Mus musculus: one gene and its partners. The main gene of each other region encodes a partner of the protein of the gene in region 3 in a complex. Links are inferred from orthologs where the notes say so. Each region holds a gene or a part of one and is shown on either strand. Other genes may lie near its edges.

Region 1 (4,436 bases), about 73 Mb from region 3:
TCCTTACACATCTTAGTTTATAGAAGGGAAAAGACAAACAGCCAAACCAAAACAACACCGAGGCTCAGAGAGGTTATAAAATACAGCTAAGACAACACAGCTACATGGTAGACTCTGTGCCCTTCGCCTCTGCACTTGAAGGTCTCCAACAGTGGGTAAGGGAATGAGAGTTGCCACTCTAAAGATGGCCTTGGGAGAGCTCTGCAGGCCTGTGCCGGCTCTTTTGACTGTCAGAACCCACTGGGGATGACTCTCAATGCCGTGGCTGCTTATCTTGCTGAAACACGCAGGGGCTAGTGTGGCCCTTTCAACTCTCCTTCCTGGCTCCCCCAGAGCCCAGCCCTGCCCCACAGTGCTCCGCTTTCACTGCAGGCTATGAATTCACAGGAAATTTTGTTCTTTTGGTTCAAATGCAGTCCCTACCTGCTTAACATCAGCATCCTCAGAGCTAAATGAAAGCCCCTGGCCTTCATCTCCAGGCTCTGAGCAGCTATCCCTTCCTGGGCCAGCCTTCATGTCCAGGCCCTGGGCAACCATCCCTCCCTCGGCCAGCTCTTGTCTCCCACCTGACTTGTCATTGTCCTCGCTCTGTCTCTGAGCCCTGAGCACATGTACGGACCTGTGCTTCCTTTGGACCTCTGGACCCCTGGCTTCCTCTGCCTCCCCTGCAGCTCAATGTCTCTTCACCCGTGGAGCTTAGATGCCCTGTCCTCTAGGAAGCTTCCTCTGGTTCTCACGGTTACCCTGTGTTCTCAGGGCTCTCACAGTTGCTGAGCATCGGACAGCTCAGTGTGGGGCACACAGCACACCCCACTGTGATTCCCTACCTCTTGAAAAGGAAGTACCCGTGGGGACCCACCTTATGACACAGGGAAGTCAGATGGCGCAGCAGCAGGCAAGTCTCCACTATGGGATACAGGTGAGGAGAGGTCCCCCTGGCCCCTCCCCGCCCTAGTCCAGCAGGTTCAAAGCCGCCCACCTTCACTGCAACAGCCAACTCCACTGTTTGCCTTCTTGCTTCCCTCTAGGACGGGACAATCTGCCCCATACATGGCACCCAGTGACGTTTCAAAATCACATGCCAGATCTTACAAATCACTTTGAAATCTCCAGTAGCGTTCAGACGTCACCCTCTCTCCCATCAGCTCCACCTACCACCTTCTTCCCCTCAGCAAACTCCTCAGTCACCTCAGTACCTTCCCTGCTGCCTGGTGGTGGGTGTGTGTGGGGGGGAGGGGGATGGGGGATGGGGAAGGACTCTGCTTGGCTGCTCCCTCCTGGTCCAGAATGTTCCTGCTCAGGCTCCTGGGTGTTCTATCCCCCCTCCCGCTCTCATTTCTCATTTGCTTCATTCCTTAAGTATATGCTCACTAAATTTCTCCCAGGGAACAAGTGGCTGAATGATGTCACAAATTCAGCTGCAATAAGGACAAGTTAGGACCTGGGGTTAAGGTAGGGATGCCCAAAGGGACCCTGTCTCTCCTTCCTCTGCACATCCAGAAGAGACAGTCCCCACAGAATTATGGTGGAAAGAAGCACCCTGCTGTGCCCCATCTGCAGCAGTGAGAACTCAGCCCCCCAGGGACAACCAGAGGCATTCAAACCCAGGGCTCACTGTCAAGCCCCACCACTGGCTAGTGTGGTCCTCAGGGCAAATTCTTTATCTCTCCTTGCCTAGGTGATTCATCTGCAGGACACACCAGTTCCCATTCCAACACTGGCTATCCTTGCTTAGCATGGATCAGGTGGAGCATGACCAGGAAAGTACTGGGACCCTTCCATGTCCTTCCCTGATGGTTCAGATACCAACGATGCTGAGGATAGAGGTCCTGGCTCTGCAGGCAGGTAGCTGGATTCTGATTGGAGAGGTGTCAAAGAATATCTCTGTATGTGCTTGTATGTGTGTGTGCACATGCACGCGTGCTCGCGCGTGCATGACAGAGGGGGACAGACAGATAGTGGAGTCAAACCTATAATAAAAATAAGACTGCCCCTACTATGCAAGGAGGTTACAATTTTTCTAAGCCCTAGGTTGACTGCAGGTCTTTTAACTCTCACAACCACCAAGTGAGGTGATTACTATAATTCCCATTTACAGACTGGAGGACCGAGGCTTGGGAAGGCAAAGTGCCTGATCCTTAGCCCCTAGGTGTGCTGCAACTGGGACTCAGCCAGATCTATAGTCCCTTAGTGCTGGGTGGTCTCCACTAGTGCAGACCCCACGGGCACCCTGTGGATCTCTCTCCCAGACCACGAGATTCAGAGAAATGACTTACCCTAAGGCACTTGTACAGTAAATCGAAGAGTCGGTATCAGAATCCAGCCCCTGTGCCTCCAAAGCAACTGCCAAGACTTCCTTCCTAAGTTACTCAGGAGCCTACAGCCCCAGGCCCAGGAGTATACTGAGCGGTAGGGCTCTCAGTCTGTTATGACTACTGTCAAAGGGGGCCTGGGAGAGCAGCTTCAAGGCTCACAGTGCAGTGAATCACTCACTAGGGGCAGCCCGTTCTAGAGACATCCTACATCTCAGGGGAATCAGACCTTAACCCAAAGGAATGTGCTTGTGATGTGAAATGTCAGGGTGGAGGTGGGGTAGGGGGGTCCCTCCTATCTATCACACATAAAGAAGTCTCCCCAAAGAGTTCTGGGTATCCCCTCCAGATAATAGTGGTAGTGTGGAAAGCCCATGTCTGCCTGGGGCAGACCTGAATTCAAATCCTAATCTGCTTGCTTGGCTGTGTGCTCCTAGGCACACCCAGAGCTTCCTGCCTCGATTTTCCCAGCTGTCAAATGGGAACGCCTATCTGAGCCCTTCCTTAGGTAGATCTGCTAACACCCGGGTGCCGAGGGAGGGTCCGGCCCTAGCTCTCTAGGCACCGCCGCCGACCGCCGCCCCTACCTGGCTCAGCGCCGCCGCCGCCGCCTGACTCCTCCGCGCATCGTTCGCGCAACCCCGGGGGTCTGGCCCGCCGAGGCCGGACCGCTGCAGCGCCGCTCCAGCCGGCCGGGAGGGGGCGGCGCCCGCCTTTTAAATAGCACCGGCCGCCCGGCCACGCCCCCTGGGACTCTGAGCCGCGGGGTCCTAACACCGCCCTGCCAGCCGTGCGGACCTAGGAACCGAGCATCGCCTCTGCTCTGGAATCGCCCGGACCCAGCTAGGGCGGCGCTTGAAACCGAAAAACGACTGGAGGGAGAAGGATCACAAAAGAAGCTAGGCCGAGGCAGCCGCACGTGCAGCCGTGGGCCCGCGAGGTCTTGGGTGCAGGGAGCCGCAGGTCCGCGGAGGAAATCCTGGCGCCACCGCACCAAGGCAGGGGGCCACCCAGAGGTGACTGGCAACCACCGGCACGGAAGGAAGTGACCCTTCTTTGGCCCTGGGATGGCCCTGAGGGGGTCCCATCCACCCCCCCCCCCCCCCAGCTATCCTGCCTTTAAGTCATCTCCAAGCCTGTCAGTGTCCCCTGCTTACTGATAGAGAAGCTGAGGCTAGGAGTGGGATGAGGGAAAAGCCAGCTGGTTGAGACTTGTCAGGTCCCCACGGACATTTGGGGGACCTGAGGCTCTGATAGGTTAAACTGCATAATGACAGTCTCATAACTTACCCAAAGCCGCTGCCTTTACAAGGTACTTAGCCTCCTCAGACACTGGCACCGTGCCCTGCTGGGTCTAGACTGAAAGATGGGTGAAGAGTGTTGCTGCCGTCCTCCAGTCTCTAGTTCTGTATTCATAATGTTCTCCCTGGTGGTCACAGCGCCTAGAGGAGGGCCATCCACCCTATCTTAACAGCACCAAGCGGGGTGAGCCAGAGTAGGGCTGGGCTCTGAGCTGGGCCTTTCCTCCCATCTAGTCCACAGTGGTTGGATGGACCCATGCGGTGCGAACAACCCAGAGAGGACAGTCCCTGACAACTCCAGTCTAGAGCCCTGACCTAACCTAAGGTCAGGGAAAGGTTCACCAAGGAGGCATCCTCTGATGCTATAAGGAGTCAGAGCAGCAGAGTAGCCCAGCTTCCTGCCCCCACCCACCCTCGGGAGCTCTCAGGGTTGTGGCTCTCCCACCTCAGCCCTTGTGTGTACTATCTAGTCAGACTGAACTTCAGTTCCCCTCTCTGCCAAGTGTAGAATGGCAAGAGCCGCTCTTTTGGATGAAGTCGATGTAGGCCTGGGCCTGCACCCGATGGGTGTTAGAGACCGTTCCTCATCTGCTGCTTTAGGAGGACACCTTTTCCAGGTTGGAGTCCATGGGGTCATGTATCAATCGAGGAAGGGGCTTTGTGACTACTCTGTAGCGAGGGCAGAGCATGAACAAAGACTCAGGTAGGCTGGGGCTCTCCCTACCTGCTTCCCCATGATGGCCTGATGCTCTCTCACACCGTCAGAGTTGCCCTAGAACTTGGCTCAAGGTGGGGGCAGGGCAGGGCTGGTGCCATCACTACA
Region 2 (3,464 bases), on a different chromosome or scaffold from region 3:
CCAGGATATTACCCTCATGTGTCCAATTTTATACCTTTGTGAATTCTTATGAGTAGGGTTGGGATTCAAGGAATGCCCTTAGGGAACACAGGAGGGCAAGAATAATATAGCTTTCCATTTGAAAACTGTTGACATCATCTTGGAGTAAAAATCAAGAGAACACACTCAGAAAAGAGGGTACTCTGCTCGAAGCAGTTTTGTAGACACCTTTTGGATTTCGGGCTACAGGTCAGATCAATGACAGAGTGAAACAATCCATCCAGTTTGACAGGTAAGAATATATAAACTATCTTCAGACAAAGAAGCTATGGACTTAGATGACCTTAGACACCTTACAGTGACCCTTATTAACATTCAGCTTTAAAACCAGTATTCTAGTAAAGTGACATTGTCATATAGGTTCTATGGCAGTAGTAACTTAGCACTTATTTAATCCAGTCATTTGTGACATTATAAACTTATTCCAAAGGAAGAAAAACAGAATTTAAATGCAAAAAGGAGAAGATGTTGGAGTCAAAATCCATTTTGGAAAAGAGAAGAAAGCAGATTTGTACATGCACAAAGCCACGCAGCTTCAAAGGAGAAGAAAACAGACCCGTGCATGCACAAAACTGCACAGCTTCAAAAGCAACACCGCTTAGATTAAAGTTCATCTGTTCACCCAAACTGAAATGAAAGCCTAACCCTTACTCAGCTGGTTGTACACAGCTCGACAATGCCAATTGCCGGGTGTGGTTGACTGCTTTCAACTACTCCTGGATGCTTTTCATCAGCAGGTTGTACAGAAGGATCACCAGTCTGTGGTGGTGACACCCTGCAACCTGCTCCATAGCCTCGTGTTTGTCTGTGAAGCTCAGGGCTGACAGGTACCTGTAAAGTGTAATCAGTGCTTTCCCAGATGATCTACATTCTACGCTGATCTAAATAAGTTATATATTACAATAAAGTGCTACAACACTAGTCTCCAACAGTAGTAAGACACATAGTTCACTGAAAACTTCAGCAGCTGAGTGAGTCATATGGTTGTGAAGACACTTGCCAGTCTTCATGGCACACTCTTCAATATAATTTGTCTTCTCCTGTGACTTTATATTATACTTGCTAGAATAAATTGTAAAACCATCCAGCTTCCAACAGTTTTTGTTTGTTTGTTAATCTTATTTAGAAGTTGCACCTGAAGGCCTCCTGAGCATTTAGTTTGCTGATATCCATTTTTATTTCCTCAGGCTTTTCTCGTCGGTAGGTTACAGCTCTCGTGCAAACACTTTGCAGAATCAGTTTATCCTTGATGGAGAAGAAATATTAGGATTAGTAACAGAGCTGAGTGTTAGAAGTGCACAGTCACATATAATTAATATAATTGTCCTCCGAGTTCACCAACCTTTTTAGAAGCAGACATTCTATAATCTGATGAGGACTTTATTTTATTATTATTCCATTGTAGTATCACTTGTCTAATGATAAGAACTTTAAGCAACCCGATCAAGAATGTGACTATGAATATGATGAAAAATATTCGCAGATAGCTTGGGCCAGATAAACATTCTGCAAGAAAGGAGACAAGTTAATGGGTTAAAATTTTTTTTAAAGTAAACCAAAGTTTTCTGTCAAATAAATATAGTTTACATTCTTATAATAAAAGCAGGTTTCTTTACAAGTCTCTATTTTCACAATAGGAGGTTGACATTACTGATTACTCAAAACAGTGAACCCTTCTTTGGAGAATATTCACAATTAAAATATTTCATTTTTTTGTAGCTTGCTATGTCAAAATTTCTTACCCATATGTAAGTTTGTTTAGAACAGTGACTGAGAGAGCTATAGTGGTGTGTACAGTTCAGTACTATGTGGAAAACATGATTTAAAAAGGATATTGAGCAGCCCCAAGCATTCAGCATGTGTTTTTCCTTTTATGCTTTCTCCTCCTTTATTGCTCAGCAGTAATGGAAAATAAAGTAAACATCTGCAGAAGCAAACTCAGTACTACTCTAATAGGGAAATAAATATTTTCTCTAAACCCTGGTGTAAGATTTCATTATTATTAGACATCATGACTCTGAGAAGTAGGAGTGTTGCATCTTGGACAATACCCAAATCTCTCGTCTCACTTTTTACTAATTAACTTCACTAATCTAGTCTGTTTGCCTCCACAAATTCATTATGTGTTCTTCCTCGAACAATAATCACTTGCTGAAGAAAGAAAAGCCATGTTAGGAGAGGGAAAATGCTAGACCTTTGTTTTAGAACCAGATCTCTGGCAAACTCTCACTGGAAAAATTTGTATAAGCTCTGTGCTTGCCTGAGGTCTACTCTAGTCTCTGAGGAATATGGTTGCACAATAGTGGGTATTCCACAGAGCTCACAAGCTGCCCCAGATTCATAAAACACTTCCTGGACTGAAGCATGTGTTTCTCCACCCATTTTGCACGCTTCAGGGACCTGGTCTGAATGCTGCAGTTGCCTAGGAAAGAGCATCTAGAGAGAGGATGTGCCAAGGCCATGAGCATAGTAGCATCCAGTCATAGCTGATTCTGGCTCCAAAGCTCAATGCTAACCCAGCATGCCTCTTAAATGAGGCAAGGTTTCAATAATGGGGGCAAGAGATCTTCTACAACTAGGTGGACTTAATAGAGACCATTGTTTGTGATTGGTGACAAAAGACTTTGTGGAGTTAAAAAACACGCCCATTCCTATTCATTGAAATGGGAACATCAGATGCCAGTATGGTACAATGCTTCCTTGTTAAAGATATTATGAGTACAGAATACAAAGTGTGTGTCCAAAGGTGGTGCTATTTGATCTTTTACAGCTTCTTTCCTTCAGGTTAGTGACCCTCATAGCTTATGTCCTGACAGATTGTGATATCCCTTGGCTGACTTAGTCTACTCCATCAGCTAAGCCAATCCTTAGAGGGGCACGTGGCTTGATCCCTATCCTGGCTTTTTGCCTGATGGGAGCTTAGCCAGAGAGACTGAAAGAAGACCCTGTAAGAGTGGTTGAGTGGACAAATAATTAAGGTGCCTAACAAATGCTCTTTTCCTTTCCTTGCATAATAGTTGTTAAGGGGAGGGAAGTCTTGTAGTTTGATACATTTCAGAAATATTATGAATGTGTTAGCCAGAGGACCCGTTGAGGGTTCAAGTCTGTATTCATTTTTCCCCAATGTTGTTATGATGATCCAACATTTGCCTCTGGTCATGCTTTTCTTAGCTGAGGTCAGGCTAGGTCTTTTTCTAAGGAGTTTTAAGGGAACACTGTTTGCAACAACACTTAAGTCAGAGTAGTGTTTACTTAACTTAATTAATGATATGTAGGGGCCCTCTTTATTAGAAAGGCACTTGGCTTTCTGGAGAGATTGCTGCAGCCTGAGCTGGCAGCACATGGGACTCTTTTCTGAGCCAAATTCACTGTGGGCTAAGGGAATGAAATATGGGAAACTAAGATGTGCAGGACATTTCTACTTT
Region 3 (3,990 bases):
GACCCAGCAGGGCCTAATCTGTGAGGAGCCCTGAGGACCCCGGGGGAGGTGGTTTTTAAGATGGCATAAAAACAGCTTTGCCATGGAAAATTGTGAAGAGACACAGAAGCAGTGCGTTACAATATAAACGGAATACCCCTTTTCAGAAACGTTAGGGACCAGAAACATTCTAGACTGTATAGCTTTTTGGGGTAAGGGGATATTTACATAGACTTTACATATTTATTTTATTTTTATTACTATTCATATTTCTTGAGACAGGATCTATGTATTTGCCTGAAATTTGTTTGTCACTGGCCTCAAACTCAGAGATCTGCCTGCCTCTGCTTCCTGAATGCTGGGATCAGAGACATGCACCACACCTGTCAACTTGAAAGAAAGAAAGAAAGAGAGAAAGAAAGAAAGAAAGAAAGAAAGAAAGAAAGGGAGAGAGAGAGAGAGAGAGAGAGAGAGCGAGCCGGGCGTGGTGGCACACGCCTTTAATCCCAGCACTCGGTCGGCAGAGGCAGGTGAATTTCTGAGTTCGAGGCCAGCCTGGTCTACAGAGTGAGTTCCAGGACAGCCAGGGCTATACAAAGAAACCCTGTCTCGGAAAAAAAAAAAAAAAAAGTTTTATGTGTAGGAGTATTTCTCTGAACATGTGTGTACACACACCACATACGTGCAGAGCCCATGGGGGCCAGGAGGAGGCGTTAGATTCCCTGGAACGGGACTATGGATTGCTGGGAGCAGCCATGTAGGTTGCTGGGAAATGAATCTGCGTGCTCTGAAAGAGCAGCTGTGCTCCTCATCCTTCCAGATGCCCCACCCCCTTTCTCGAGGCAGGGTCTGATTGGTTGCCACAAACACACGACGTACCTATCAATGACTTTGACCTCCTGCGGTTCCCGTTCCTACTCCAGCGCTAGGATTACAGCCTTGCTCACCATGGCCAGCGAGATTTTGGACTTCTGAATTATGGATTCTTAACTAATTCGCATCTCCACAACTGTAAATGACAACAGTTGCTGACTCGTGGCCAATTTCATTCCACCTACTTTCTTTCCGCCACTGTAGTTTTTTCATTTGTTTAATGAACTTTTGTAGAAAAGTTCACTTTCTCTTAGAAAGTGAGGAATATTTTACAATTTAAACATGAATCAAAAGTATAAATCAATATAAAATATAAATCAGTGGTAGAGCCCCTGCCTAGAATCCCCCAGTGAGGGGCTGGGGGCGTGGCTTGGTGGTAGAGCCCCTGCCTAGAATCCCCCAGTGAGGGGCTGGGGGCGTGGCTTGGTGGTAGAGCCCCTGCCTAGAATCCCCCAGTGAGGGGCTGGGGGCGTGGCTCAGTGGTAGAGTGCTTCTTTACTATGTACAAGGTACTGGGTTTTCTCAGTATCACAAATGCAGCAGCAGCAACAACAAAATCCTAGGGAGGGTTGGTTTTTTTGTTTTGTTTTGTTTTGTTTTTTTTTTTAATGTATATTGGTGTTTTACCTGCACTTATGCATGTGTGAGGGCATCAAATCCTCTAGAGCTAGAATTATAGACAGGTGTGATCCTTATTATGGGTGGTGGGAACTGAACGCAAGTCCTCTGGAAAAGCAGCCAGTGCTTTTAACCACTGAGCCATCTCTCCAGCCCCCTTCCCCAGGCAAAAATTTAACATTAAATCACTAAAATCAAATACTACTCAAGGTTCATGTTTCCCACTGTGTCCCATAAACATCTTTTTCCCTTTCCTTTTCTTTCCTCCTCCTCCAACCTCTCAGCCCTCTCTTCCTCTCTCTTCTAGTAGTGTGGACTATATATCCTCCCCTCCCTTCTTTGCACTGTATCTGTTGAAGAAATGACTAGGTTTCCCACCATCTGCACTTTGCTGGGTGCGTCCCTGTGGTGCTGGCTAATGTTGTTAGTCTGTCCCTCTGTTGCAGTTCCCTGCAACATGGGAGTTGGAGCTACAGTTCCCATCAGATCATGGTTGATGTGTCTGATAGGCCTTGCTCGATGGCATGGTGTTCTTCCATGCAAAATTTTGCTTGTCACAGCCGGGGACTTGGCTCAGGGAATTAAGTGCTCGCTGTGCAAGCATGAAGACCTGGTTTCGGATTCCCAGAGCCCACATATACATCAGGCATAGGCAAAACAAATATAAGAGAGAGACAGGCAGACAGACACAGTCAGTCAGTCAGACAGACAGACAAAGAGATTTTCATGATTCCCTGAGTTTGTTTCCCAGTATGTGAGGAACAGAGTTTACATAGCTTCCTGCATCTCTTAGTAACCTGCAGTATGAAGACCGGACATCTGATCCTATGTGAAGGCTGACAACCAAAGGTGAAGACAAGGAGGAGGAGGAGAAGGAGGAGGAGGAGGAGGAGGAGGAGGAGGAGGAGGCCGGCCAGCCAAGGACCGATATGTAACACAGAACTCTATAAAGTCTGAAGCAGGTAAGGGATAGGTCAGCTCACTGCTCTCATCTCTCAACACCCCTGAATTTCATGCCTTCTAGGATCTAACGTTCCAATTTCTTTCTCTCATCCACAGTACCGAGGCTTAATATGAGTCTACCATTCTGGAACTGGGTGGTTGTGTGACATCTGTAATCCCAGGACAGAGAATTCAAGACAGTCTGGGCTAAAGGAGTGAATCTGAGGCCAGCCTGGATTACACAGCAAAGCCCTGTCTCGAACAAAACCAAACAAAGGAGAACTAACAAGATGGCTCAGCAGGCAAAGGTGCTCGCAGCCAGGCCCAATGACCTGAGTCTTATATCTGGGACTCACATGGTGGAAGGAGAACGGACTCCCAACAGTTGTCCTCTGACCGTCACACAGTTTTGTGGCATGGATGCCCCTACATACACACAGACACACACACACAATGGCCCTACACACACACAGAGATATAACTTAAAAACAATGACCAAAAAGCTTTGGCCCTTGGTACGGGCATTCTGGATACACTAGGACGCCCACTCTCTGACTCTGAGAGATCTTGTCTCCTCAGAGTTCCCTATCTCAGTACTATATTCCAACACTTCACACTTCCAAGCCTACATACATCTCAGAAGTTCTATCTTCTCACCTCCTCAGGGTGCACCACTGCCAGATAAAGCGCTGGCCCTCAGGAAACTCACTTTCTGGCTTTCTCCACCTCCACTCTAGATGCTAACATCTCCCTGCCAGCCCTGCCATTCTGAGACCCAGGATTTGCCGCTCTCATCCACCAGCACTGGAGACCACCATCTGCCAAGAGTGTGGGAACCCAGTGCAGACCACCTTCTGATTCGGAACCCAAATGTTTGGATCCCAGCACTCCAGCTTTCCTGGGGTCAACACGCTCCATGGCTCACAGTAAATTCTTTCATTAGCATCCCAAAGTGGCAGAAGCCTGGCAAGAATTTTAAAACCCAACCAGACAACCTTCCAACAGACTTCCAACTCTTGTTGAATTCCCTGATCCCAGCACTCCAGGAAGAAAACACCCCTCATTCTAGGACTCTCAGCTGCCCACAGAACCAGGAACTTGTCCCCAAGCCCTGCAGGCATACATGGTGGCACACCAGTCCACAGGCTGCAGTCAGCCCGCAGCCTGCACAGCCTCGGAGAGAGACAGTGTTTACCTGAAGCAATAGTTGGTATCCAGGGCTCTCCGGTGCCGTGAGCTGTGCAGGTGCTGGGCCCTTTCCAGGGGGGTGGCCATGAGGAGCAGGAAGGGCCGGTTCATGTCATGGATGGTGCCCAGGTCGCCCCGACGTTTGGGGCTGATCCCTGTTGGGTTTGGATGTTGTGGTGAAGGACATACACACACTTAGAGGGATGGGTGAGATTTCACACACATGCACGTGCACACAGACCATGAGGGGCCTGTGTCAGGATGGACCCGGGAAGTTAGCTCACCGTTGATTTCCACGTGGAGTTTGTTATCTTTGCTGTCACAAGAGCAGTGAGCGCTGAATCGAAAGCCCTGTATTCCGTCTGCGGGAGAGGAAGGGAGTCTGAGGAT
Region 4 (4,790 bases), on a different chromosome or scaffold from region 3:
GAGGGAAGGAGGGAGAGAAAGGAAAGGAAAGGAAAAAAGGAACTATCAATATATGCAACAGATAATGACATACAATACTGTGGATTCTAATGCTTGCTGAATATATAGTGAATATACAGGTGCCTTTGCCAATACTAAGCATAATTTTGTTTGGTTGGGTTTTTGGCAGGTGGGATGAGGTAGCTTTTCTCTGTGTAGTCCTGGCTATCCCCGAATTCTTTCTGTAAACCAGGCTGGCCTTCAACTCAGAGATCTGCCTGACTCTGCTTCCAGAGTCCTAGGATTTAAGCATGTGCTACCACCATCTGAAATTTTGTTTGGTTTTGGTTTTTTTCTATTTTAAGATTAAGTATAATTTTGTAATAATCTTCATTTAATCTGGAAGAGTCAGTAAGTATAAACCGTTGTTTAGGTGTATTGGGAGGGAGGGGGCCCCTCAAAGTTGCTTTCTTTTTTATGTTAGGCTGGTCTCTTGGTACCAAAGTTGATAGTGACTGTTTCAAAATACAACATGCAATCTCCAAAGTTCCACAATATCTTACTATTAAAACTCATGCATAAGTTCCTGTAAACATGAGACTGTGTAAATGTATGAGCTCATTGCATATCCATATGTTTTCCAAAGATTAGTTACATTCCTTGCAATCAACAATAGTAAATACCACCAACAGCTCAAAACTGCTGTTTTCCATGGCAAAAGACAATTAAAAGCTTGCCAGCCTGCCATGTTTCTGGATGTATCTTGGATACTAAATCTTTGCCATAGACAAACAGAAGCAAAAAAACAAACAAACAAACAAACAAAAACAAAAACCAACTAAATTAATAACAGTAAAAAGTAATAACATCTGCAAAACACTCCATCAACTCTGAAGTATTTAACTGCTAATTCCTGTAAGGCAGAGAATATATTTTCAGTCAGAAAAATTTCTGTATAATTTAATCTAAAAGATACACCCAGGGGGCAAGTGCAGTGGCCATGATGTAAAAAGCATACAATTAAAAAAATACATGGAGCCGGGTGTGGTGGTGCACGTCTTTAATCCCAGCACTCGGGAAGCAGAGGCAGGCGCATTTCTGAGTTCGAGGCCAGCCTGGTCTACAAAGTGAGTTCCAGGATGGCCAGAGCTATACAGAGAAACCCTGTCTCGAAAAACCAAAAACAAACAAACAAACAAAAAATACATGGAAAGGAGAAACTTTTAAACAGTGAGCTAACTAAAGCGGTCTGATAGAGTGGATGTGGCTGTAGCTCAGAGGTATATTACAGACTCAGCAGCCTGGGCCCCTGAGTAGAACCCCAAGCTCTACTCTATCCATACAAAGAGATCATTCGCATGGCGGGAGTGGTTAAATGTCTGCAATTGGTGCTTCTGTGGTTTTTTGGTTTTGTTTTTGTTTTTTTGGAGAGTGTGAGCTCAGGTCTAACAGAAAGCACTGACAATGTGAATCAAACCGTGCTCTACATAAACAATGTCGATTTTTGCCAACCCCACCCAAGCTACAGGTTGCTTTAAGGACTGGTTCCTATGATACTCATCAGTGTTCAGGAAAACGGTGACAAACCCTGGAGGCTGCCCCAACTACCTCAGACAAATACTTAGGTCACCTTCAAATGAACCTTGTATCACCTACCCATCAAAATTATGCCTTGCACCTCCCCAAAACTAAATTGGGGGGGGAGTTGGGGGTTTGTGGTAAAAAAAAAATATGTTGTTACCCCAAGGGGTACACTAAGAAGTAACTAAAGAAACCGTTTCTTTGGAAATACAATGTAATAGACATGAAAAACATCAATTTAATCGGGGTTTCCTACACTAGTAGGGATGAGAATGATGCCAGCGTTGAGTCAAAGACAACTTTAATCCAAAAACACGACATTAGCCGTCACAAATCCTCAGGAACTTTGCAACACGGGACGTGAGTAATTTGAAAGCCTACGTGACCTGCTGTATTCTTCAGCATTGAAGTGACCTGCAGAGAGTGAAAACTCAGCAAACACCCTCGCTCTGTCTGAACAATGACCTAAATAGTGGACTAGAAAGGAGCAGATGACGCATTCCATTCATCTGGTGGACCTTAAACGCGCAAAGGTCTCATAGTCCTTTACAAATTAATACAACAATTTGGTCACTTTAGTCATCGGAGTGTCTAGAAGAGGAGTGGGAAAAAAACCGAGAGAGAGAGAGAGAGAGAGCGAGAGAGAGAGAATCAGACGAAGGAAGAGCTAATTTCAGAAAGCAAAAAGCACTAGGAAGAGGCTAACTGGTTGATACGGAAGAAAAAAATTCTGGGGCCAAGTGAAGCAAGTTACGGAATGACAAGAGATGGCCAAAAGTCTCGCAGGACAAGCCTGTACAGATGTCTCACTTTTCCTGGATGCTTAACAGAGCTCCTTCAAAGCTCTCTCGCACTGTCCCCAGCCAATCAGAAGAAGTTGGGGACACGGTGAAACTGGATGCTGAGTGTCAGGTTAGGTCATCCCCACAAAAGTTTCATCCATGCCAGACCTGGGCCAGCCGCGGCATGGAGAGAGTAGGCGGGTTTGGGGCCGGGAGGACCCTGGAGCCAGCGGCTGGGTGCGGATCCGCTGAGGGTGCGCGGTGGGGGAGGGGGCGCCTGGGGACTCGAGCGCGGCCACTTACGAGGACGTGCTGGGCTCGAAGAAGTCCACGGCGAATCCGAAGTAACTTCCCTCGGGACCCGCATACTCGGCGGGACTTTCGACGTCCAGGTTGAAGGCGTCGGCGAGGGGCAGCAGGAGACCCGGCAGCAGCAGCAGGAGGCCGCCGGGGCGAGGGCGTAGCAGCAGGCGCCCGGGAGCAGCCATCGCCGGGGCGCGCGCGGGGCGCAGAGCCGAAAGACTTCAGTCCCTGTCCCGGTGCTCGGTGGCCGCGGCCCGCCGCCTGCGCGCCCCCGAACTGCCGAGCTGTGCTGTGCGCTTGCGGTCAAGGGCGGCGGGGCGGCCGGGCGGCGCGAAGCTGAGCCGGGCGGCACCCAGGAGGAGCGGTGTCCGACCCGGGACTCCGGCTCTGTCGCTGGCTCGCGCGGTGCCTGGCGCTGAGAAGTGGCGGGGCGAGCACAGTACCTCGGAACCGTGAGCAGCCCGGACTGGGGGAGGAGGCCGGGGAGGAGGAGGAGCCGGCCAGGCCGGGCCGCCCCGCCGAAAGAGGAAGTCGCGCTCACGGTGGCCTCCCACAGGAGAAGGCCGGGCGCACTTCCGTGCGCGCTGGCGGCCGGTCCTCCGAGGCTGTCCCGGGACTGCGGCCCAGATCCAAAGGACCAGGGGGGCAGTGGCAGCGCGCCTCCAGCCGAAGCCCTGCAAGCCGGGGACTGGCTGCAATCAAAAGAAAAAGAACCAGGCACACCCCGTTCCCTGGTTCCTCCAGGCACTTCTGAGGGACTTTTGTTTAAGAATGCGGAAAGCTTTATCCGCTTCTCTTACTTCTGCCACTTAGCCCGGCAGGCGCTCACCAACAGAACTCTGTAATTATATGCCATTTCCCTCCCCTTCCATCCTCCACACACTGAACTTAATTATAAACTCCCAGAGGGCTAGCACAGCTCCTCCCGGATGCGGTGTGTGGAACTGGATCTCACTGGCTGACAAAAACGTTGCAAGGCAAAGTTTAGGTGATGAGCCTCTCAAATCCACCCAGAAGACTTCAAGCCTGTGCTTGGATCTTCTCTTTTCTTTCTTTTACTTCCTTTCCTTTTTTCTTTTCTGTTTCTTGCTTTCCAGTTCCAATTCTTCTTCTGGCCTCTGTGTGTATCAGGCATGTACGTGGGTCACACCCATACACACAAAATAAGTCTTTTTTGTTTTGTTTTGGTTTTTTTTGGTTTTTTTTTGTTTGTTTTTGTAAATTTGCTCAGTATTCCTGTGTTCTATGTATATCAAGTGCTAAACAATTTGATGAATGGGCCGGGAGTGGTGATCCATGCTTTTAATGTGGTGGCAAATGCTTTTAATCCTAGCACCATGAAGTGAGAAGCAGGAGGATCTGGTCTGTGTAGCAAATTCCAGGCTGGCCAGGCCTACAGGTAAGACCTTGTCTCAGAAGGGAGGAGGAAGAGGAAGAGGAGGAGCAAGATAAGAAGGAAGAGGAGGAAGAGGAGAAGGGTGAGACGAAGAAAGAAGAAGGAATGAAGAATTTGGTCAATAGGATAAAATGATTAAATATAAATGCATTGCTTAGGCCTTGCATACTTCCAAGTAAAGTAGTGGAGAATTTGAACTATTTTCCCAAAACAGTTATTAAAAATCAGTCCCAGACTAAGCACAGAGGCAGTAGGCCCCCCTGAGCCCAGTCAACATAAGAAGATCCCTGTCTCACACAGCAGAAAAAACACCTCAGTGTCAGCATGCATTCATCTCATAACATAAGTAATCATGTGTGGGGGTGTGGATAGCCTTAGTTGGGTTAAGCAAGTTGATTTTTAAAATGTAAAAAATAAGCAGCAAAACTGTTGGGAGATCTTATCAGCCACAGGCTAATACCTATGTAAAAGCCACCTCAGAGACAGGAAATCCTGTGTGGATACTTATACACAAGACCCTGTGGTTGCTCTTTCATTCCTTGTCACCATTTGGGATCAGAATGTGGGGTTTAAGAGGCAGACAATGATTCGTGGAGAGCAAGAATGTTCTGTGCACTCCCTGTGTTCTCTGCATCTCTTTCTGAAAACCATGCTGCCGGCCAGTCGGGTACCCTCAGGTCTAGAGACTAAAGACAAGTCTGGGATTTTCAGTTTCTCATTCAGATGGTCATCACACACAATTTTTGAAA
Region 5 (3,645 bases), on a different chromosome or scaffold from region 3:
TCTTTATATTTTCCCCCAGAGAGGAGCACATGAAGGTTCTGCTTTTCTTGGAAGAATGAGAGGTCTTCATGAACCTGGTGAGCAGAGGCTGAACTTTGCTTTCAAAGTGATGGGGGTGATGGGGGTGGGGCGGGTTCAACAGGGAGGAGGCTTGGGTTGCCTTCCTTCCTGAATATTCCTGTTTTCCCTCAGAGCAAGCACAGCCCGTAGGTCACAGACAGTACAAACTCAGGCTGAGTTACTCTTCTCTTAGCTTGTCCATGGAAGCATTATGTCTGTCTGTTAGAGACTCCAGATGTGAACCCAGGACATCTGGAAAGGGTCCTACCACAACTTCTTTCTCGCTGCTGTGGCAATCGGCCAATACCACAGTGGGGAGTTCACATCTGGTGCCAGACCCTTCAGCAGTACCTTCAGATTCTTGTCCTGGGTAAATCTCCAGGATGCTGTCACTCACCCTCCCCAGACATACAGTAGGAGATATATTTGTTGTCAGGTGGCATCAGACTGTCACCCTTAGCCTGCATGGATGTCCCCCAAAGAAAGATCATTGAAAAATAACCCAAGAGAAACCATTGAAGGACATTACACAAGATGCATTTGATTTTTAAAATATTTATGAGGCACACCCTTTATTCTCACAGAATGTCGTTTAATAAATATTTCACCAGGACAATGAGGATAAATCACACGGATGGGAGGAGAAGTTAATGGGACTGAGGATGGAACTCTTTCAAATTTCAGTTTTAACCTTCAATGCATCACACTCGACCCCTGCAAAAGTAAAGATCCAGCGGAGAGACGCATCCTCGAGGAAAAACCAAGTCTCTAGCCTTGGCACACGGGTCAGTATATGGAGGACCAGTGGCAGCGGCTCTTGATGACCTGAAGCAAAGGCTTCTTAAAAGTGAGGAAGACGACAGTACAGGCCACCAGCAGGGTGAGGCAGCTGGGCAGGATGAGCACGAGGTAGAAGAGACCAGTGTCCACCTGTTCCCACTTACAGCCCTGAGGCAGGCCTTCGGGCAGCTCCACCACACGGACGATCTTGGAAGAGAGGTTGCAAGTGACCATGGACAAGTCCGCAACAGTCTTGAAGTGCTGCTGCAGGGCCCCCCATCCTTCCACCCCACAGCAGTCATAAGGGTTCTGGCTGAGGTAGATGGTCTGCAGACCCCTCAGAGGCTGCTCGGACACAACCCTCTGAGGGAGGGCCGTGAGAGAGTTTCTGCGGAGGTCGAGAGTCCGAAGGGCCAAACTGCCCTTGAACTTTGGGAAGCTGGTCAGGGAGTTTCCCGACAGATCCAACGCCCGCAGATTCCCAAACGCAGAGAAGTCCATCTCTGCAGCGCCAGAACCAAGGCCCACGTCCCTGAGAGACAGGACCTGTAATGTCGGGGCAACAGCCCAGAGAGGGCTGATGCTCCCATTCAGAACCCCCCAGTTGCTAGACAGGTCTAAATGAGTGAGGGAGGTCCCCTGGAACGGGCAGTCTTGTAATGCCTTCAGCCCACAGCCGTCCAGAGAAAGGCTCCTCAAAGAGCCCATGTTTCTGAAATCCACACAACTGGGAGGCCCCTCCCAGTCTACGGGCACCATCTGAGGACAAAGTGAGATCTGATTGTGACTCATGTCGATTGTAGTGATGCTGCTGGCATTGTCGAAAAGGCCAGTGGGGACCCCCAGGAGCTGGTTGGAACTCAGGTTGAACACCCGGAGGTTCCTGAGGGAGCCCGTGAGCCCCGGAGCCAGGTGCAGCTCTGCCAACTGGTTGTGGCTCAGATCCAGCTCGGTGAGTGCTCCCGGCGGCTCGTGCTCCCGGATGTGGAGCATCTTCAGGCAGTTCTGGTTGAGGTTCAGGTGGGAAAGGGAAGGTGTCTTCTTCAGGAAACCATCCGGCAAGTGCCGGAACTGGTTTTGGCTCATGTCCAGGAAGCGAAGAGCTGACAGGTCGCTGGAGGAAAACTCCTCCCAGAGGTTGACAGTTGTGATGTTAGTCACATTGCCGTCCACAAGAAGGAACTGGGCCACCATCTCCTGCGGGGAGGAGGTGTTGTAAAGCTCCCTGTAGAAGCCCATGTTGTTGTCCTGGAGCAGGAGGGTGTGCAGCTTGCCGCACTGAGGCAAGAGTGGGAAGAAGAGCAGCTGGTTGTGAGACAGGTCCAGTATCTCCAATTCGAAGGCCACCTCCTCCCTGGCTGCCAGGAACCACTCTAGGATGTTATAACTGACGTTGAGGAACCGTAACTGGGTGAGGCTGAAGTCCACAATGCAGGGGAGGTTGTTATAGGCAAGGTTGAGACGCCTCAGCTCAGTCAAGCCGTCAAACGCCCCGCCCTCGATCTCAAAGATGTAGTTTCTCTGCAAATCTAGCTCTACAAGGTGTTCCAGGCCCTCAAAGATAGAGTCGTCGAGCCTCATGAGGGTATTCCTTGCCAAGGACACAACCTCCAACGAGGAGAGGTTCTGAAGCATGAGAGCCGCCATGTCTTCGGTCAGGGAGTTTCCAGACAAGTCCAGTCTCCGAAGTCCCAGCAGGGTGTGGAGTGCTGCGGCTGACTCCTTGTAGTTCTCCGAGAGGCGGTTGTCTGCCAGAACCAGGTTGCGTAAGTGGCCTTGCTCTCGGAAGGCGTAGTGGCTGATACGGTCCAGGTGACAGCTATGCAGGCTGAGGTTCTCCAGGCGTGGGTAGGCCTGGAGGGAATGGTTCCACAGGTCCTTGAGAGGGTTAGCATCCAGAATGAGCATCCGGGAATGGGGTGGGAGGCTGCTGGGTACCGAAGCAAGGTTCAGACCCCGGCAGTCAGCGACTCCGTCGACCTAGGTCCACAAACACATGAGGTTAATTCACAGAAATGTAGTTTGCAAAAGCAAACAGCTAGCCAGAAGGTGTTGGGTTAGGTGTCCAGAGAAGAACGGTAAGAAAAGCAATACTATTGCTTTCTACAGGTTGGTCAGGAGGGCAAGGCCAGTGAGTACCAAACAGCCAACCTCCAAGGCAAAGTGCAATGAAGTTGTGTAAGAGGCCTCGCTCTTGGAAGGCGCAGTGGCTAATACGAAGATGCCCAGGTTTGGGTTCTATAGTTTGTTAATTTGACCCTGAGCAAGGAACTAACTAACCTCTTGCAGCTTCAAATTCTTTACTGGGTTATTAAAATAAAACTTAGGGGCTGGAGAGATGGCTCAGAGGTTAAGGGCACTGACTGCTCTTCCAGAGGTTCTGAGTTCAATTCCCAGCAACCAGGTGGTGGCTCACAACCATCTGTGATGGGATCTGATGCCCTCTTCTGGTGTGTCTGAAAACAGCTACAGTGTACTCATATACATAAAATACACCTTTAAAACAACAACAACAACAACAGAAAGAAACTGGGCATGGTAGCACAAGCCTTTAATCCCTGGACCCATGGAGATAGAGGCAAGAGGATCTCTGAGAGTTTGAGGCAATCTGGACTACTTAAAGAGTTAGGGACCAGTCAGGACTATATAAGAAGATCCTGCCTCAAAAAAAAAAAAAAAAAAAGAAAGAAAGAAAGAAAGGGAGACCCTCAGATAGTCTCAGCCTCCCTCTCAGATAAAAGTCACTAACCATTATGCTTGTAATTTTCTCATAGAATTTTTTTCAAGGATTGAGTATGCAAATCA
Region 6 (3,990 bases), on a different chromosome or scaffold from region 3:
GGTCGAAAACAATGAAGAAAGACAGCTGATGTTAACCTCTGGCCTCTACACATGCATGCTTGGGAAAGTGCACCCACACACACTTTTAACACACACACACTTTTAACACACACACACACACACACACACACACATACACACACACCCCTCTCTAAATGAAAAATTATAAAAAGAAAATAAAAGATGGGGCAGAAATGAAGCCAGGCATGAAGTCTGAGGACAGAGCACCAGCCTCCACTTACCTGCCCGCTGTTGGCCAGGTCATCCACAGACAGAGTAGGGTCCAGGCGCAAGGACAGCCCGAAGTCACACAGGCAACAGGTCAAGTCGTTCTTCACTAGGATGTTAGAGCTCTTGAGGTCCCTGTGAACAATGGGCATCTTGGGCCTCCCACAAGGAGTGTGGTCACTGTGGAGATGAGCGATGCCCCGGGCCAGGGAGCTGCCCAGCTTCCTCAGGTCCTCCCAGCTGATGACATGCCTCGTGAGGTACTCCTGCAGGTTGCCCTTCGCGTGGAACGCCGTGATCAGCCAGTACTGCTTGCCCAGCTCTGTCTTCCGCTCCTCGGCCGTCAGGAACTGCAGGATGTTCTCATGCTTCAGGTTGATATCGGAGAAGATGTCCTTCTCTGTTTTCCACGAGGAGTACTCCTCGTAGGGGAAGATCTTGACAGCCACGGTCTCAAACTGCTCTGAGGTGTTCTGCTTCAGCTTGGCCTTGTAGACCTCGGCGAAGCGGCCCTTCCCCACCAGCGTGTCCAGCTCGATGGGCAGCAGCTCCGTGTTGTGGTTGATGTTGTTGGCGCACGTGGAGCTGATGTCGGAGCGGTCGTCCTCCAGGATGATGGCACAATTGTCACTGAAATCCATCAGTTTCCGGGGCTTGCTGCTCTCCCAGGACGGGCTCAGCTTCTGCTGCCGGTGGACACGGTAGCAGTAGAAGATGATGATGACAGCTATGGCAATCCCCAGCGGAGGCAGGAGGCTGACACCCGTCACTTGGATAATGACCAACAACAGGTCGGGACTGCTGGTGGTGTATTCTGATGTGGAGAGAAGACAAAGGAGAGAAGGCATTAGGCTCTGGAGGTGTGCATCACCCCTACCGGGAAGCAAGTCCATAATCAATTCTTTATGCACGGTAGCATCTAAACTGGGTCCGCGGATACTAGGTAGGGATTCTAGCTGATGATTCTACACCCTGCCACACTGTCCATGCCCCTCCCAGTGTGTAGCTGAGTCAGAGATGATCGAGGATACCATATAAACCAAAACCTAATGCATAAGGCATTGTTAGATACTAGCTCCAAATCTCTTCCTCGTGAGGATTCACATACAGGAAGGACAGAGATGGGTAGAGGGCTCAGCTGGTAAAGCACCTGCTCTGTGGACCCGTGCTAAACCTCCAAATGTAAATGTGCACACACTTGTGATCCCAGCTTGGGAGAAATGGAGGCAGGCAGGTTTCTAAGGCTCACTTGTCAGTCAGTCTAGCTAAATCAGTGAGTCTCGGGTCAAGTGAGAGACCTTGCTCCTGAAAGAGTACATACCATTCCTAAGAAACCCACTAGTGTCTGCATGCACACACTTGCACACTTGTGTACCTGCAGACATACACACATATATATATGTGCGTACATGTACACACACACACACACACACACACACACACACACACTCACACAGTTGACATAAAGAAGCAAGGCTTCCAAGACACCTTCTTTTCCATGCCGCTCCATACCACCCAGGCACAGAGCTGTTATTTCCGGGTGACCTGGATGTGGAACAGAGCAGGAACAGGAGCAGGTGAGAATATGGGAATGAGCAAAGACAGTCCCTGTCTGAGATCATTCCACTCAAATACCTCCTATTCTTTAAATTTCAGCTCAAATGCCACTCTCTAAGAAAAGCTGGGGAAACTTAGTACGATGTCTTTTGCGGCTTCTATGCCTTTCCGTGTTTGCATGTCAGTACAATCAGGGCTGAGTGACACAACATACTAGACAATGCCTAAGGCTGAGTGAGGCACTGGGGATAGAGGTAGAAAGACATACGTAACTGTTGCTTGTGAATGGTTGCTTCTATAGAGATATGGTTCAATGCTCCCTGCCCCACCCCCATCCTTATCTCTATAGGCTCATGTGTTTGAAAACTTGGCTCCCAGCTGCTGATTTTGTTTTGGAAGGTTATAAAACTTTCACCAAGTGGATCCTTACTCCCTAGAGACAGTGGGTCGTATAGGGCAGGTCTTAAGGTATATAAGCTGATTTTCAGTGACCACCCCACTTCCTGTGGATACAGTACGATCAGGTTGTGCCAGCCAGCCTTCACTACTGTGACAGATGGTGCCTCTAAACACTGCAAGCCGGAATACTCTCTTCCTTCCTTAATCTGATTCTGGGCAAACCATTTGGTCACAGGAATACAAAAGCAGCCAGTCCATAATAGTACCTGGTAAAACTGTAGATCACTGGTTCTCAACCTGCGGGTCATGAACTTTGAGGGTCAAAGGCTTCCTTGCCTAAGACCATTAGGAAACACTGATATTTACATTATGATTCATAACAGTTGCAAAAACACAGTCATGAGGTAGCAATGACAATAGTGTTATGGTTGGGGTCACCACAGCATGGGGAACTGTATTAAAGGGTCACAGCGTGAGGAAGGGTGAGAGCCACTGCTCTAGAGACTGCCACAATCCTGTTGTTCCTATTGATCCCAACTTCCAATTCACTCTGATTTTGACTCCCACACAGACTACCTTGAAACACCAGCTCTGGGCCTGAGAAGCAGGGGGAGCAGTCACCTTATGTCCACTCAACATCCCTCTCTTTGCATCGCCTATGGTTGCCGACAATGGACACAACACACAGGGACCTAATGTCTTATGCACAGCTTTGGTTCACCTATCAGAGCCTTGATCATTTGTTTCTAGTTCTCTTGGAGAAAAGGACATGGTTCTTAGTCTATAATGTGCAGAGGGGTCATTGACGACATCCACGCGAATGCCAGAACTCTAGTTGTGTGTTGTTCATCTGCCCATGAGGTACTCATTAGAGAGCATGCCTGAGTCTCTGACACTCTATTTGTGGCATTCCTGATTGTCTGCTCTAGGCATTAGGCATGCTGCTGTACTGTGCTGTCTTTAAGCTACCGAGTAGGGCAGTTGGGGCATGCCCATAAATGCTGAGCGATGTGTCATTCCAGAAGGGAGTCAGGTGTATGCTACAATGTATGAGTGAGGATGCTTATAGAAACGTGGAGGGTACAGGAGCTGAGACAATACTCAGCCACTTCAGTTCCTGGGTCAGGAGTGAGTGATGAGAATTCAAGCCAGTCAGCTGGGAAGATGGCTGAGGAGCCTTAGAGGGAATGTGATCCTAACTGGCATTTGATCCAGCCACTTAAAGTGACACTGTATGAAATGAAGGGAAGGGGGGCACACAGACATGGGGTGTTCTGACTCACTGTCTTTTGGGCAAAATGTTTGTTGAACCCACTGACCAAACTCCAAGGCAGGAGTTCTGTCTGATGCCACTTAAAACTAAAGGAATCTGAACCTCAGAATTTCAGGAACCACATGGGGAACGCAGAGTCTTCTGAAAAGATACATGAACACACTTTAAAAACAGGAAAAAGAGGGCTGGTGATTAAGAGCATTTGCTGTTCTTGCAAAGGACCTGGGTTTGGTTCCCAGTATCCACATACAACTGTCCCTAACTCTAAGTTCAGGGAATCTGGCACCCTCCTCTGACCTTCACAGGCACCAAACACAAATGCAGTGCACATATTTTCATGTAAGCAAAACACTCATACATACAAAATAAATATTTAACAAAGTGCAAAAGGCAGGCAGTTTGGTGGTGGGGCCTTCAAAACACAAATTTTTATTTGTAAGATTTATTTAATTTTTATTTTCAATTAGGTGCAAGAGCATGCGTGTATGCGTGTGCGTGCGTGTGTGTGTGTGTGTGTGTGTGTGTGTGTGTGT
Region 7 (4,599 bases), on a different chromosome or scaffold from region 3:
ACACTGGTACATATACACAGGCACATGTGCTCGCACACACACACACACACACACACACACTGAATAGTTGAGAACAAAACATACCAAACAAAAGAGTGGAGCCAGAAAAGGATGGGAGGGAGGGATGGAGAGATGATAGTTACTGGGTACCAGTATGCCATTTGAGAAGGAATAGTGTCTAATATTCTAAAACACAGCAGGACAACTTTGGTTGGCAATAATTTATTGAGTATTTAAAAAAAGCTATCACAGAAGATTTCAAACATTCCCCAAGGAAATTACACACACACACACACACACTCTACCCTAAGGGTGCATTCAACTGTTGTGTCAATTAAAAATAAAAGTATATCTTAAAAGGACATATCTGGCACAAATGCTCAGAAAACATTTGTCAATGGGTTTTCAAAATGGCGGCCACATCATAGGCAGAGAGTCATAGTCCCACCATCCTTCAAATGCAGGCACACATTTCACACACTGTTTTTTCTCTCTCAAAGTCTCAGTTTTCAGCTCTCTAATCTGGATTCTTACAGCAGGAGTCTTTCTGTTTTCTTCCTGGGTTTTGTATATGACAGAGTTGAAAACTGAATATAGGCTGCTGGAAAAAAAAATCTAAGTAGTCTATAATTTGTTTTCTTCTCTTTCCAGGTTTCTCACGCTTGCCTGGAAACATACCTTCAAAAGACAGTCTCCCAGGACGTGAGCCCAGACAGAAAGGAGCCTGCCTGAGGTCAGATGGCTTAGCGTGACGGAGCATTTGATTCCTACCTGCTCACAGTTTCTACAAATCCCAAACGGCCCCTGAAGGGAGGGTGGGGGCTAGGGGGCGGGGGATACAAACCTCACAGATTTACCTGTAGAATATACACATTTTGAGCTGTCATCCACATAACAAGTAAATGATTCATATGTGTCAAGCCAGGGGCTGGAAGCCTTTCCTTTCGTTTATATTATTTTAACCTTGTTTATCGTAATGTTTTGTTTGCTTGCGGTCTTGGTGTTTGATGGACCACGGGACCTTCCTTGTGCCACCAAATGCTCTCCTTGGTCACCACCCTGGAAGAATGCTCTCGAGACAGAGATTCAGAGTCGTGACTGCTGTTGTTTCTCTCTCCGGTGTTTCTATTGTGCTGAGGCTTTATTTTGGTCTAGTTGATCTTCATATACAGTGCTTTTAATACGCTTTTAAAATTAAGAACTCTAAAGGTGTGAAAAATAGCTCTTATATAATTTGAAAGATAAGAAAACAGTGTTTTTTGTTCTACTTTGCCTAACTTCTAATTTGACTGTAAAATAATGTTTATATTTTTCAGAGCTCATTTCAATTCTCTGCAGAGGCTCTAACATGAAAACCAAACCTCTCAGGTATTTTAACTTGTTTTTTTTTTTTTTTTCTTAAGCTTCCTTACATTTAAGCTTAACTTCTGTGTTTCATTTCACATCCTTACAGCATTAAATTAAAATTGTTATGAACACCATACATTTAAATCGGTCTTTTGACAGTTCATTGATTAACATTTCACTAAAGAGGCTCATTTGCTCTAGGATACAGTACAGCTAATAGAATTGACACACATGCAAACGTCTCCTGCACTAAGTCTCCCCACCTTCCCGGGCACTGTACACCTGACTTCCTTATAAGGTGAATGAGGAAGTGAACATGTTGAAGTTGCTTTTAAACACAGCTTTTCTGCTTTGCCTGTCCAGGTAGCTTCTGTTTTCATTTTAGTCTTAGTGAAAGGTTTTGAATTTACAGCTCAAGTTACTTTTCAAAGCAGTGTGAGTAGTTTTACTTAAAAAACAAAACAAAACCAAAAACCCCGGCAAGAAAGACTTTCACGGCTTCCAGCTTTGGTCTTGTAACCCTGAAGGTAATTCATTTTTAATCTGTCTGCACAGTGAAAACTGAACCGAATGGGGATTGAGCTGGTCTGCCTGTTTCTGCTACTTCTAGGAAGGAATGATCACGTCCAAGGTAAGCCTGAAGCTCTCTCAGATATCGCTCTCATCGTAAGCTTGACAAACTGTCATTTGCTTCAGAAAACAGACCTGCAGTCATTTTTCATTTGATCTGTCTGATGGCTCTCGTGCCACTGAGACACTTTCACAAACTACAGGCAGACGTAGAGCATTTCCCCCAGTGAATGTTCTAGGTACAAGGTAAATAAACACAAAGGCTTCACGGGAATTTTAATGAGGAGGATTAGACAGAGTTCCTGAACAATGGGACTTGTGAGTGTTGTCCGGATAGCCACTTCAGAAGCTTTTCTGTTTTGTTGCACAACAAGGCCGTCCACCTGGGAGTCACAATCATGAGAGTGGAGGATTCGGCAACAGAAATGCTGAATTTATAAGAGAACCCTTTTTAATGCGTACAGACATGTTTTTGAAATTAAGCGGCAGGTGTTGAACAGGAGGCTAAATGCGATGATTCTGTACTGAGCAGTTAGACACGGTTGCGGTCTGAGACACTGTTTTACATGATGTAGATGTTTCCATTGTGATGGGTCTAAGCTATAAACTTTGATGTGAGTTACTAGCCTTCAGAGGATTACTTTTATAAAGTAAATTTTTAGATAGCTTCGCTCTAGTAAGAGGGGTTAGTCCCCTAAGCTGGATGAAGGAGTGGGCTTTAATCCTTGCCTCTTGCTGGCTTTGCTCTTAGGTGGCTGTGCCTGGGGTGGTGCAGAAAGCTGCTCAGACTGCCTGCTCACAGGACCCCACTGCGCCTGGTGCTCCCAGGAGGTAAATCCCTGGCTCTCACCCTGTTTCTAACACTGTTTCTACATCAGTTAGCATCCTCAGCGAAAGCGCTTCTCTCAGTGCGGTTGAATGAGTAACAAGTTTAAGAAAGGAACATGAGGGTCAGTGGACCAAAGTCGGATTCATCTATACTTTGGAAACAACTTACTGAAGGAACGGATGCCAAATTGTTCTTTAAAACCTGAACATCCTTTACTAAATCTAGACAGTTCTTTTATTTAACTTAATTACTTTATTTATTTATTTATTTTTATTTTTGAGACAAGGTCTCACTACATAGCCCTGGCTGTCCTGGGGCTCACTATGTAGACTAGGCTGCCCTGGAACTCACAGAGAGGTGGCTGCCTCTGCCTGGCCAGTGTTGCCAGCCACCTGGTTACTTCTCTTGCTATAAAGTCTTCCTAGTTGTTTGCTGGTGTAACATTCTGTCTGGATAATTGGTGGCCACAAAGATATTGTCCAAAGTGAAGCAGACATTGAATGTTGATACAATGTAGTTGTGTTCGCATCAGGGACCCGAGATCCGGTGTAAGTCTGTGCTAGGTACTTCGAGAAGGGAAATCTACGATTCAGCCATCAGCCAATTCCTGTACAAAGTCATGAACAGAGTGAGCACAGGAAACTCTCAAGTGGTGGTTCTCAACCTGTGGGTCAGGGTCCCTGTCAGGGTTGGATGACCTTTTCACGGGGGTCGCCTAAGATCATTGGAAAACACATGGATTTACATGACAATTCATAACAGCAGCAAAATTACAGCTGTGCAGTATAAACCAAAATAATTTTATGGGCGGGGCTCATCACAACACACTGTATTAAAGGGTTGTGGCATTAGGAAGGTTAAGAACCACTGCTTTAAAGAAATGGTCCTAGTCTGGTCAGAGTGAAACTTGCGTGAAGAAGTGTGGAGGCCATGAGGGCTAAATAACAAGACAGACCAAGTCCCAGCCTATGTTGTGATGAAGAGAGCAAGGTGTAGTGTAAATGATTCACACTAAGAAAAAGCAGTCTTGGTTTTCTGGATTTTTAAGTCCCATCCATTGGAAAGAATCTAAGTGCCAATCAAGGCTTACAAATGCCAACAGCAAAAGCCAAATAGCATGCAAAGGGAAAGGAATCTAGATGCCTGGATCAGACCTGGGCTGTAACTATTTGCACCCAAAGTCCCCACTTATTACACATCTGTGGAGGGTTGCATCACATGCAGAAGCATAAACCATGCACCCCGCCCCCCAGTGCCCCACACTACCTTAACTGCTTAGGCCACAAATAAAATTCAAGGCAATTATTCTCTTATAAGGTTTAACATGAAATGCAGGGTTGAGAATATTCAACAAGGAACAAGTCCATAGACTCTTTGGACACTGTCTAGAAGATAATATTAGCTTCATGGCAGAGACAAAGAATACTGTGTCAATCTGGAGTTTATGTTTACTTTGTGTGTGTGTGTGTGTGTGTGTGTGTGTGTGTGTGTGTGTGTGTTACCCATGGAGGCCAGAAAACAAAATCAGATCCCCTGGAACTACACTTATAGGTAGTTGTGAGTTCCTTGACATGGTGCTGGGAACTGAACTTGGGTCTTCTAGAAGTATTGTTAGCTGTTGACCTCTCTCTCCAGCACACTAGAATGTATAATTAAATTCATTTTTTAGCATAATCGGGTGTTTCCTAAGGTGTTACTGAGGGTTTTAGTTGTAGCTGGTCAAGTGATCATCAAGTTTTAAGGCCAGATCATTTCAGAGGCCTCTCCAATAATAAAAGCAGTCATGAGTACGTCAGCTGAGGCAGGCAGATGTGGCCGTTAGCGCAAAAGATGAGCAAAACCGAGAGTATACA

Evidence for each region.
Region 1: the proteins of Tgfb1 (region 3) and Lrrc32 are in contact, whole or in part, in a cryo-EM structure (PDB 8VSC), measured with the Homo sapiens proteins. The link is inferred for Mus musculus from reciprocal best matches to the Homo sapiens genes TGFB1 and LRRC32. Residues at the interface, in NP_000651.3 of Homo sapiens: Leu30, Ser31, Thr32, Cys33, Lys34, Pro325, Pro327, Tyr328, Ile329, Trp330, Ser331, Leu332, Thr334, Gln335, Tyr336, Val339, Leu342, His346, Ala353, Pro354; in NP_001122394.1 of Homo sapiens: Ser135, Tyr137, Glu158, Ser160, Thr162, Val184, Met186, Asp187, Ile188, Glu189, Asp190, Phe193, Leu202, Leu204, Arg206, Asn207, Ser208, Leu209, Thr210, Cys211, Ile212, Ser213, Asp214, Phe215, Ser216, Leu217, Leu223, Leu225, Cys227, Ser229.
Region 2: the proteins of Tgfb1 (region 3) and Itgb8 are in contact, whole or in part, in a cryo-EM structure (PDB 7Y1T), measured with the Homo sapiens proteins. The link is inferred for Mus musculus from reciprocal best matches to the Homo sapiens genes TGFB1 and ITGB8. Residues at the interface, in NP_000651.3 of Homo sapiens: His117, Thr241, Arg243, Arg244, Gly245, Asp246, Leu247, Thr249, Ile250, His251, Gly252, Met253; in NP_002205.1 of Homo sapiens: Ser156, Ala157, Ser158, His160, Asn161, Asp213, Tyr214, Asn215, Leu216, Gly248, Asn249, Ile250, Asp251, Thr252, Glu254, Gln286.
Region 4: the proteins of Tgfb1 (region 3) and Itgav are in contact, whole or in part, in a crystal structure (PDB 5FFO), measured with the Homo sapiens proteins. The link is inferred for Mus musculus from reciprocal best matches to the Homo sapiens genes TGFB1 and ITGAV. Residues at the interface, in NP_000651.3 of Homo sapiens: Gly242, Arg243, Arg244, Gly245; in NP_002201.2 of Homo sapiens: Asp178, Asp180, Phe207, Tyr208, Gln210, Ala245, Asp248.
Region 5: the proteins of Tgfb1 (region 3) and Nrros are in contact, whole or in part, in a cryo-EM structure (PDB 7Y1R), measured with the Homo sapiens proteins. The link is inferred for Mus musculus from reciprocal best matches to the Homo sapiens genes TGFB1 and NRROS. Residues at the interface, in NP_000651.3 of Homo sapiens: Leu30, Ser31, Thr32, Cys33, Thr35; in NP_940967.1 of Homo sapiens: Phe194, Glu195, Ile196, Glu197, Gly198, Gly199, Phe201, Leu210, Leu212, Pro218, Cys219, Ile220, Val221, Asp222, Phe223, Gly224, Leu225.
Region 6: the proteins of Tgfb1 (region 3) and Tgfbr2 are in contact, whole or in part, in a cryo-EM structure (PDB 9FKP), measured with the Homo sapiens proteins. The link is inferred for Mus musculus from reciprocal best matches to the Homo sapiens genes TGFB1 and TGFBR2. Residues at the interface, in NP_000651.3 of Homo sapiens: Arg303, Lys309, Trp310, His312, Tyr368, Tyr369, Val370, Gly371, Arg372, Lys373; in NP_003233.4 of Homo sapiens: Phe47, Leu50, Phe53, Asp55, Ser72, Ile73, Thr74, Ser75, Ile76, Cys77, Glu78, Val100, Asp141, Glu142.
Region 7: the proteins of Tgfb1 (region 3) and Itgb6 are in contact, whole or in part, in a crystal structure (PDB 5FFO), measured with the Homo sapiens proteins. The link is inferred for Mus musculus from reciprocal best matches to the Homo sapiens genes TGFB1 and ITGB6. Residues at the interface, in NP_000651.3 of Homo sapiens: Pro70, Gly71, Pro72, Glu75, Leu158, Asn237, Gly245, Asp246, Leu247, Thr249, Ile250, His251, Met253, Asn254; in NP_000879.2 of Homo sapiens: Ser142, Ala143, Ser144, Asp146, Asp147, Pro196, Cys197, Ser199, Ile200, Pro201, Tyr202, Lys228, Lys231, Ile232, Ser233, Ala234, Asn235, Ile236, Asp237, Thr238, Glu240.

What each region holds. Positions count from the first base shown.
Region 1 is NC_000073.6:98,488,561-98,492,996, reverse strand, and holds the start of Lrrc32 (transforming growth factor beta activator LRRC32 precursor), read right to left. Parts: upstream 3,007-4,436; 5' UTR 2,900-3,006; intron 958-2,899; exon of another isoform or gene 860-957; intron 1-859.
Region 2 is NC_000078.6:119,161,956-119,165,419, forward strand, and holds the end of Itgb8 (integrin beta-8 precursor), read right to left. Parts: intron 1,546-3,464; coding exon 1,382-1,545; intron 1,285-1,381; coding exon 1,162-1,284; 3' UTR 848-1,161; downstream 1-847. UniProt on the Homo sapiens protein: Integrin alpha-V:beta-8 (ITGAV:ITGB8) is a receptor for fibronectin. It recognizes the sequence R-G-D in its ligands.
Region 3 is NC_000073.6:25,696,890-25,700,879, reverse strand, and holds part of Tgfb1 (transforming growth factor beta-1 proprotein preproprotein), read right to left. Parts: intron 3,963-3,990; coding exon 3,885-3,962; intron 3,756-3,884; coding exon 3,608-3,755; intron 1-3,607. UniProt on the Homo sapiens protein: Transforming growth factor beta-1 proprotein: Precursor of the Latency-associated peptide (LAP) and Transforming growth factor beta-1 (TGF-beta-1) chains, which constitute the regulatory and active subunit of TGF-beta-1, respectively.
Region 4 is NC_000068.7:83,722,775-83,727,564, reverse strand, and holds the start of Itgav (integrin alpha-V precursor), read right to left. Parts: upstream 3,169-4,790; 5' UTR 2,831-3,168; coding exon 2,646-2,830; intron 1-2,645.
Region 5 is NC_000082.6:32,142,186-32,145,830, forward strand, and holds the end of Nrros (transforming growth factor beta activator LRRC33 isoform 2 precursor), read right to left. Parts: intron 2,821-3,645; coding exon 847-2,820; 3' UTR 600-846; downstream 1-599. UniProt on the Homo sapiens protein: Key regulator of transforming growth factor beta-1 (TGFB1) specifically required for microglia function in the nervous system.
Region 6 is NC_000075.6:116,109,262-116,113,251, forward strand, and holds part of Tgfbr2 (TGF-beta receptor type-2 isoform 1 precursor), read right to left. Parts: intron 1,043-3,990; coding exon 243-1,042; intron 1-242. UniProt on the Homo sapiens protein: Transmembrane serine/threonine kinase forming with the TGF-beta type I serine/threonine kinase receptor, TGFBR1, the non-promiscuous receptor for the TGF-beta cytokines TGFB1, TGFB2 and TGFB3.
Region 7 is NC_000068.7:60,670,781-60,675,379, reverse strand, and holds the start of Itgb6 (integrin beta-6 precursor), read left to right. Parts: upstream 1-1,686; 5' UTR 1,687-1,917; coding exon 1,918-1,978; intron 1,979-2,668; coding exon 2,669-2,748; intron 2,749-4,599. UniProt on the Homo sapiens protein: Integrin alpha-V:beta-6 (ITGAV:ITGB6) is a receptor for fibronectin and cytotactin. It recognizes the sequence R-G-D in its ligands. Internalization of integrin alpha-V/beta-6 via clathrin-mediated endocytosis promotes carcinoma cell invasion.